Linked DNA regions of Schizosaccharomyces pombe. The gene in region 1 interacts genetically with each later gene. Each region holds a gene or a part of one and is shown on either strand. Other genes may lie near its edges.

Region 1 (5,044 bases):
TTGGATAGATACCCATGGTATTAAATCTTTTACTTTGATCTACTTTATGTTTTATTTTCTAACAAAGTTTCACAGTCACTGCACCATTTAAGCCTTCCAAAAATGACCCAGGCGTTTTGATTGACAAATATGGCACAGAGATTTGTTTTTACTCAGATATAACTGGAATTTTACAAGAGCTAAGGAACCAAAAAGTTACTTTGTGCGTTGCTAGCCGTACTTGTGCTCCCAAGTATGCGAAACAAGCATTGAATTTGATGAAGGTACCAATAGATGGAAGTCTTAAGCCGGCTATCGAATTTTTCACTTATGTAAAAGCTTGGCCAGGTATGTCTTTTAATACATTTTTGTCAATACAGAAAATATCAATAATCATATTGCTAACTAGTTATTGTGAAATAGGTAGTAAAATGGATCACTTCAAAGAGATCCACAACGAATCTGGAATTGACTATCGAGAAATGGTGTTTTTTGATGATGAGTCTAGGAACAGAGAGGTTGAAAGACTTGGTGTTACATTCTGTTTAGTTCCTGATGGCCTTAATCGTGCGTCCTTTGAGCAAGGTATAAACAAGTGGAGAAAATTAAAAAAAACTCACTAAATATTCTTTCATTTCTAAAAAATCATATGCATGGTTAATTTTTCTTTTGAAAGAAAAGTTAATCAATTTTGCTTGCATCTTAAGAAAACAACTATCGTGCTTTAACTTATATTTAGAAGTCTCTATTCGAATTGAGATGTATTTTGTTTAATCACAGTATCATTGTTAAAATTGGGAAACACTGATACTACTTTTAATGGGTGAAGAATCAAATTTAGAAATTAAATCTATTAAAGACCTAAATTGCTTCAATCTGTAATATGGGGTTTCTTATGAACTTTCTCTTTTCTTTTTGCAAACTAAGTAAGTATCATATAAATAAATAACAAAAATATATACAAACGGTATAATGTCATATGAGCATAGTTGCAAACCGGTTTAGGAAAACAAAGAACATAACAGAGTAGTTTAATTGATTAATATAATGAATTTTATAAAAATTCTTAAAAAAAATTACATCACTATACACTTACTTTTCTCAAGTAAATATATAATTTTGAAATTATATCTCCATTACATGTTTGTCTAGAAGCATTGCAATATATATAAATCGAAGAAGAAGCAATGTTAAAGTTACAAAGTACGCTCAGTATCCTTTTCAGTCATGTTGCACCAGGCAGCCATTGCGCATTGTTCCGGATATTTCTTTGCTAAAATACTAGAAATACGGCCTAGTGAGGAAAACAGTAAATCAGTACATTCCTCATTAGCATACCTCTTTGACATGTTTTCCATATATGATGTTACGGTATCCAAGTCTTCAGGCCACAAAAAGTTATCATCTTTGCGATAGGATTCCATAGAAGGGTGTGTCAAAAGAAACGATCCGACATGTTCGTTTACGATGTTCATAACTGAACATGCGATTTTGGAAGCGGGAAATTTGAATAAATTAGGTACAAACATTGATGCATCAAGTACTAAGAAAAAAATCGGGTCTAAAACAGGAATATACGAAGCTGGTGTAGGGATTGAGATATCCCAATCAAGAGTATCAAGTATGTGGCGTTCCATACGAATAAATAAATCCTCAGCATAGATGTTTTTACAAGCTAACTTCAGTTCTTGCAATAATGGAACACGGTCTTCTGTTTCATGAAATTTACTGGCAATCCAAAGACAAACACATGCTACTAACTGAATGTGTTTGCAGTATACCACTCTCCTCGAGACATATGAATCCATGAGGGAAATACTAAGCGGAAGAGTATCAATAGACAAGTCGAATCCATTATGTATTTCTACAATAAAATTAACGAGTGCAGGTCGCATTGACCATCTGAGTTCCGGTTGCTGATTAGAAAGATGGACATTCAGCAAAAAATTTTTCTCTCTAGTAATCAGATGATGGATAATGTCTTCCTGGTACTCACCTAAATACCCGTTCATTGATAAACCAGTGAGTAAAGAGGATTGAGTGTTATAAAGTAAGGCGCTAGATTCCGCTGACAATGTGCTAACAGAGTCGACAACAAATGCAGTCTCATTTTTAAGAGAGGGAGATTTGGAATTAACGCCTTTTGGTGAAACAGCTAAAGAGCAAGGGCCCACTGATAGAGAATATGAACAGGCAGCTAATATTTTAGGTTCTATACTTGAAGATGAAGTGGGAGTATGAGCAGTAAGTTGTTCCTCATTGGAAGAAACTAACATACTGGGTAGACAGGTATTTGAAAATAATGAGAAGGAAAGAGTAGAAAAGCTCTTCACAGTCGATGAAGTTGCAGCTCAAAGTTCAGTGAATTATTAAAAAAATGATACTGAAGAAAAAATAATTGGACATAAACAGGCTCAGATTGCTTGTTAAGAGGTAGTGGTCAAAGCGAATAGTGTTTAACTAACTGAAAGCGATACAACGGCGGAAAATTAAGGGACGATTTAAAAAGGAAGAAAAAAAAAGAGTGAGGTGACGATTAAAAAAAAGGGAAAAATTACTGGGTTTTCAAGGACGCTAAAGAGATATCAATAATGGAAGGGGTAATATAAAGGAATCGAAAGAGTAAATTGCAAAGGACTTGTAAAAAGCCAAGACGAAAGAACCCAATAATATATAGTGAAAAAAGGCTATATAAATATTAAAAGAATGCAAAATGAAGCGGAAGAAATTAGATGCGATAAATATATGTTTCCAAAAAGGTTCGGTGAATAGTTATTTAGTTTGATTAACGGATTTCAGAAGCAGACAATGCATTCATACTAATGAAAATATTACAAAGAAACACAAGGTTAATTCCAAAAAGAAAAAAAAAATAAAAAAAAATAAAAGGAAGAGAAAGATATTTAGTAAAATATGTCCATATGCAGCAAAAATAAGGAAATAAATTTCAATTAAACCAAACGATGTATTGCAAAAGAAAAACAAAATTTGGTTACGCTGTTCAAACTTTCGAATTCATTTACAGTGCAGTCAATTTAATTTACCGCAACCTTGATAGGACAGAAATTATAAAAGAACACCAAAAGCTGGAGAAAAGTAAGTGGTACAGACTCTTTTAAAGAAAACAATTCAGTTCCGTCAGCTACTATTTTATAAAAAATGATAAACGGATACGACTAAGAGATCGAATTTGTGAACGATTCGTACCAAGCAATAAATAAAGTTGTCGCTTGTATACCAAAAGCAATTATGGTGTGGTAAGAAAAGAGAATGTAACAAAAAACAAGGCGGAACTGGTAAAGAGATAAATTATGGAAGGTTATAAACGGTGGGCAATCGATATCTTTATAAGGATAAATCTTATAGTGTAGTGACAATATCGCGAATCGGTATCCTTACATTGTGAATGTACAATGTCCATTCTAACTCGTAATTTCTGCAACGTAACTAGCTACTGTTAGTAACAACAACCGGAATTTTCGGATTTGAATTAATTAAGCCTCAAGTGATCTCCATCTTGGTATGGCCGATTCACAAATTTACCATACCAACGATGTGTACTGAAAGCGTAAAGTACTAACACACAATTAATTCAATGGGTCAAGCACATCATGTAAGTGACGACGTAGCCCAAAACTATTCCATTCATAGCACGCCATCTATCAAAGAACTTGAACAAAGAAACTAGTACAAAATTTTGATTTTCAAAAGCGGTTAATTGATAAGTTACTTGCTGTAAATCATATTGGCCAAATCGTGAAATGTACGTACTGCTAACATTGCGCACGCAAGTAAGAAAAAGTGGGGACAAGAAGCAGAGGTAAATCAATTATTCAAGAATGTAAATATTGACCCGTTCGATCATCTACAGCTTTTTTTTTATGAAAATCACGTTATTAACAAAATGGCTGGTGCAATCCAGCTATAACTACAGCTAGATAGATTAACATTAATAATATCGATTTTCTTCACAATAGCATATACCGCAATCTTTATTTTACATAGCAGAAGGAAATAAGCAGCCCAATTACTGTGTGTAAATGTTTATCACTTAGTATATGGATTAAACAAATTGTAAATAATAGTCAAGACTTAAGTCAGTTAATTTCCGATGAAATAATTAATTTTTGAGGAGAATGTGGGGAATGAACATGAATAACTAGCATGGATAAATAGATTCGCAATCAGTGACATAACGATATTTATGAGCCGTCTAGTTTCACAGATAATTCCACCTGGTGGTGCGGATAAAAGTAGGATAGAAAATAACAGAACCAAAACGTTGAAAAACGCATTGCTTGGCTTAAAGGTCATAACATTATTCTATTCAATGGAAAAAAATGTTTGGTAGTTGAACGAGATTGCTTCTCAACGCAATGTTTTATTTTCACTACGAAATGTTCTCATGCTTCTAATCTATGACTTCTACTTTACATGCTGTTGATTCAGGTGGTGTTTTTGTACCAAAGTGGGGGGTCTAAGTCGTTAGTACTATTGTCCTTCTTCTGGTTAGTACTGACAGTTTGTATTACATTTTAAGTGGGATCGTAGTAACTAAATGGGGGTACATAAAACTGGTACTACTAAACAGATTTATCTAAGTTGTGAACAAATTTCAATAAACAAACGAATGTATAATCTCATCGGCAAGAAAATAATTTTTTACGTCAATCACTTATTTCACTTCTTTATTTTATTTTGAATATATCAAATGTAATCAAGTTTAGAAACGTAGACGGGTTCATGTATGAGCTTTCTTCGTTTCATTTGCATATATATCCTTTGTAAGATTCTGTTACTTTGAATATGTTTTCTTTATAAGTTGTAGATGGTAATTGCTACTCTTTAAATACAAGCTGTCTTCTACAATAATTTTAATTTTACCAGAGTATTTTTAATTATCCTCATGCGAGTAATTTTCTAATTATGTGGTGTAACAAAAATAGCGTTCGGTTAAATTTTAGTTCGCCGTGTTAAGTCTATTAATCAAAAAATTTGGGTTCGTAAAATTGTACGCCTATCTGCCTAGAATCAAGTGAAACCATATTACAGGCATAATGCTCCA
Region 2 (4,205 bases), on another chromosome or scaffold:
TGCAGTTTTACCACTACCAGTTTGAGCTAGACCTATAACATCTCGTTTATTCAATACAACTGGAATGGCTTCTTGTTGAATCGGAGTTGGAGTTTTAAATCCCAGTTTTTCACAAGCTTCGCATAATTCGTCAATTACTCCTAATTCCTTAAAAGTTTTAGGGGCTTCGTTGTTTTGTGAGTCACCATTATTATTTTCCGAAGATTTTTCAGAGCTTGAATTAGATGTTTCAATCTTTTTATTCAATGAGGAATTTTTTTTATCCTCAGTAAGTTTTTTCTCAGAAGGTGCCATTGTATAAAAACTTTTGCGGACACCAAAAAGAAATAATTAGCAGTTGTTCAAGCACAACAGCTGTAATTTGTAGATTTAATGATCAATGAAAGTTATTTACTAAAACTTCGAAAAAGTAATTAGGAAAGAAAAAATTAGCGAAACCGAGCACCAATTTGGAAACTGGTGGTTTTTTTCAAGCTTGTCGCATTAACTGTTTGTAATTTTTAATGAATACTCTAGGCTTCCTTAAATGTTTTTGCGATGTGAGAATAACATTATCTTAAAGCAGTGTCTTATTAACATTGTAAACATCAAAAAGCTTCATAACAGATGTAAGAAATTAATAAAATTAACTTGTGAAGACATTCGATGTGATTAAAGTATGAAATGTTTTTCAATTCCAAAGAGTTAAACTAAGAGATTTGATACTTCATATTACATCAATAATTTCAATTCTGGAACTTTGGAAATATTGTAAAGAAACAAAAAAATAAAATACCGATACGTAATCAAATAACTTATCATGGAAAAAAAAACTGTTTTTTAAAAAGATGATTTTTACAGTTCTAGCCTAAATTATTTCAACCTGGTTGAGCAATCCTTGTCTTAAAGTCTTTCGGCATAAAGTTGAACAGAAGACCTTTTGGAACCCTTTCTTGAAATTTCTGTTGTAGGTTTAGAGTGATCCCCTTTCATAAAACCAAAAACCTTAATAAAATTTCGTTAGTTGTGATAATCATTTTTTGACAATCAAGATACACTTACCATGTCTGGCGATGAATGTGCTAATCCAAAAATGATCCTTTTGTTATGGGAATTTGAGGTTTCAACTTTAGCAAAGATGATTCCAACTTGCAAATCTGAATATAATGTTGCAGATGGATGTTCTTAACAGTTAGAACAAGTACGGGATACGAACGCACAAGTCAATAAGCTTACCATGAAAGTCATTAATTAATTTATTTAAAGATGATACAACATTATCCTCGGAAACTAAAAGTTGTGAAGAACGACAAGCAAAACAAGTGTTGCTAATATGTTCACCAGTTCCAGAGGTAGCAACAGCACAAGTAGAGGAATGAGACTTATTATCAAAGCTTTCAATCCAAAAACCATGCCCTGGTATCGGAGAAGATCCGATCCTCCCTGCTGGTTTAAGTAATAATCCTCCACTGCTGCTTACAACGGCAATTCTACCATTTTTATCCACGCATATTACGCCAATGGTATCTTGCGAAGAGAGATTGATTGGATTTTGGTAAAGGATTTCTTTCCATTTTATTTGAGTTTTCATAGATCTCTCAGTTATGAGATGTGATTCTGGAACAAGTTTTATGTTACTATGAAGGAGAAGTTTCTCTATTCCGTTCCCAACAAGCATTGCAGGAGGTACCAGTCCATGTTGGCTCATTACCTTTCTTTTGTTTAAAATATATAAACATGCTTCTGAAGGATGCCTACAGCAATTGCAACAAGCAACACTTGCAGTTAAACCACTTTCAGAATCCATGACTCCAGCCTCACACTCAACTTTTCCATCAATGTTTAAATTAGAACCTACACCAGCGTTTGTCACTGGACTATCCTCCATAATTTTTGCTGCCTGAATAGCAGCAGATAAGGCAGATTGGCCAACTTTAAGAGCCTGAATAGCAGCTTTACAAGCACTGAAAGTTAGTTTATTAATAACTTTCAGTAAATACTTACTCAGAACAGGTTTTTTTGGCTTGGATTTCCCGTTGACCACTGTATAAGCCAGCGCCAGCATGTAAAATTACCAAGCCATTAGACATTATTGCAGCAAGTATTTTTGTATGACTAAGATAAGTTCTTAAGATTCCTGTAATATAACCTTTAGCATACTTGTTCAACAACGAGAAGCAGTGTCGTTACGATCCATGTGGTGGAATAGTAAGCGCACCAACGTGTTAGCAGCAAACATTGTATTCGATAACTCAAAGGTTTATATTACGAATTTATAATAATACGTATTTATTCTTTGTACACTGTAAAAGCTAATAATTACAGAACGTTGGAGATGATGCATACTGACCGGCAGAAAGAGTAGCTATTAAAAATCTAATTAAAAGTTTATATTAATACATTAGAATACTTAGGTCAAAATAAAATAGCATTATGTGCTCAAACGAACGGATCAGGTTCATTCATACCAATACTGTTAATTTATGGTACTATAAATTAAACCTTTTTCTCTCTTTTTAAATTATTTAATAACCTTACGGTGAAGTGCCCATTCATAAACAGACCAAGTAATTGTAGATGAAATAGATTTTCGAAGTACACGAAGGAAGAATCCATCAAGGAATCCTCTAAATCCTTCATTGGCATATACAAGTTTTGCAGAATGCAAAAAGTTTTTGTATATATGAGGTTCTAATTGAACACGAGTTTTGAGCATATCAAATGGGTTTGTGATAGCTGTTGCAGTAGCACCTGAAATGAGACCCGACATTACATTGACAATATTGCGATGCGGCACAGTGCCTTGCACCGAAGAGGATGGACTGAATCGATCAAAGAGTTTATGCAAGTTTTGCTTAGAAAGTTCATAAAAATATACGTATAGCCCAGCATGAGGTGCATCTCTTAATGCGGTGACTCCAAATCCTCTAAAAAAACCAGATATACCTTCTTTTTTCCAAATATCCCTAATTGACGAATAAATGGTGGTATAAGAATATAGGTTGCTCTATCAATTGTTGATTAGTAAAATGCTATACTATATGGGAATGATTAGTTTCAATATTTTTCTCATACCTCATAACGAACTTTTATAACCGTAACAGGCATAAATGCAAATCCTACAGCAGCTCTAGCAAATCCTCCCATCCACAAATTCTGTATATGGGAAGACGCAATATTTTTTGATTGAGGAGCAAAATGTCTTAACCAGTTCAAAAAATAAAAATAACAAGATGAACCAGTGGTAGACCTTAAAATTGAGGGCAAAGTACCCTTCCACAGAGAAAATACACCTCCTTCATGAAGGATTATTCGGCGTACCATTTTAGGAAGGGAGTCGCGTTGACTTTGTTGACAACGAGTTTTCAACAAATCCAAAGGCTGCAGAGTTGTACTGGAAATAAATCCACCCAAAGCACCAGCAGCAAGATGTTTACTGCTTTTTACACCCAATTTCTCCGTTTTCTTAATTTCTGACATTTAGGGAAAGGTGTACAGAAAAGTTATGTGTAGTCGACTATGCTTAACAATGCGAAAGAATTCAGGTTTCAGCTAAATCATCTATTTATTTTCTAATCAAAAAAAGATTTAAATAGGAGTTACGTTCAAAACTTTGTTTGCATAGACATGTATTGAGATAACATACGGCAGTAGCAAAATGGGAAGGTTGGAAGTATCGCTATAACCGTTCTCGCGTACATCATAATCTGGATGGTGAAAAAAATTCAGAACAATCATTGTTAAAAGGTAGAGCGATTTTTAAATTCTTAGTCTTGCTTTAGTAATTATTGTATTCGCTACATATTTATAGTGCAATTGCTGAAGCCATTACTGCAGAAGGTAATGCGTTGGATTAATTGAAGATGATTCGATCAGCAATGGATGCTTAAGTTCATAATTCATTGCACTATATCAGAAGTTCACATGATTATTGAAATTACATTGACATTACTTTGGAACGTGTATAACAAAATTTCCTATCTCTTCTAGTTTACATTGGAAACGCGATAAACTGCCTGCTCTATTTTACACTTTCATCATTCTCTATTAACAAATAAAGTATCATATTTAGTACGAAATGAAATACAAACTTGAGAATTTTAGGCAACAAATACCTCTTAATACCTAATTACACGGCGCCTTACTTGAAATAGATTAAAGAAGAAAAATATAATGATTTTATTTATTGAAATAACACGAAAATGCCTATTTACTGTTTACACTAG

What was found.
Region 2: mutations in puc1 (region 1) and SPOM_SPAC823.09C together harm fitness less than expected from each alone (positive genetic interaction), as found in Schizosaccharomyces pombe (one large-scale study listed by BioGRID).

What each region holds. Positions count from the first base shown.
Region 1 is NC_003423.3:3,698,398-3,703,441, forward strand, and holds puc1 (G1 cyclin Puc1), read right to left. Parts: upstream 3,293-5,044; 5' UTR 2,256-3,292; coding exon 1,176-2,255; 3' UTR 801-1,175; downstream 1-800. Other genes in the region: SPOM_SPBP8B7.31 (acid phosphatase), read left to right, coding at 1-17, 76-327, 403-522, 576-640.
Region 2 is NC_003424.3:2,593,751-2,597,955, forward strand, and holds SPOM_SPAC823.09C (threonine aspartase), read right to left. Parts: upstream 2,196-4,205; 5' UTR 2,070-2,195; coding exon 1,984-2,069; exon of another isoform or gene 1,944-1,983; coding exon 1,216-1,943; exon of another isoform or gene 1,164-1,215; coding exon 1,042-1,163; exon of another isoform or gene 985-1,041; coding exon 883-984; 3' UTR 795-882; downstream 1-794. Other genes in the region: ATP-dependent RNA helicase Rrp3, read right to left, coding at 1-294; glycine transporter Hem25, read right to left, coding at 2,501-2,986, 3,055-3,459.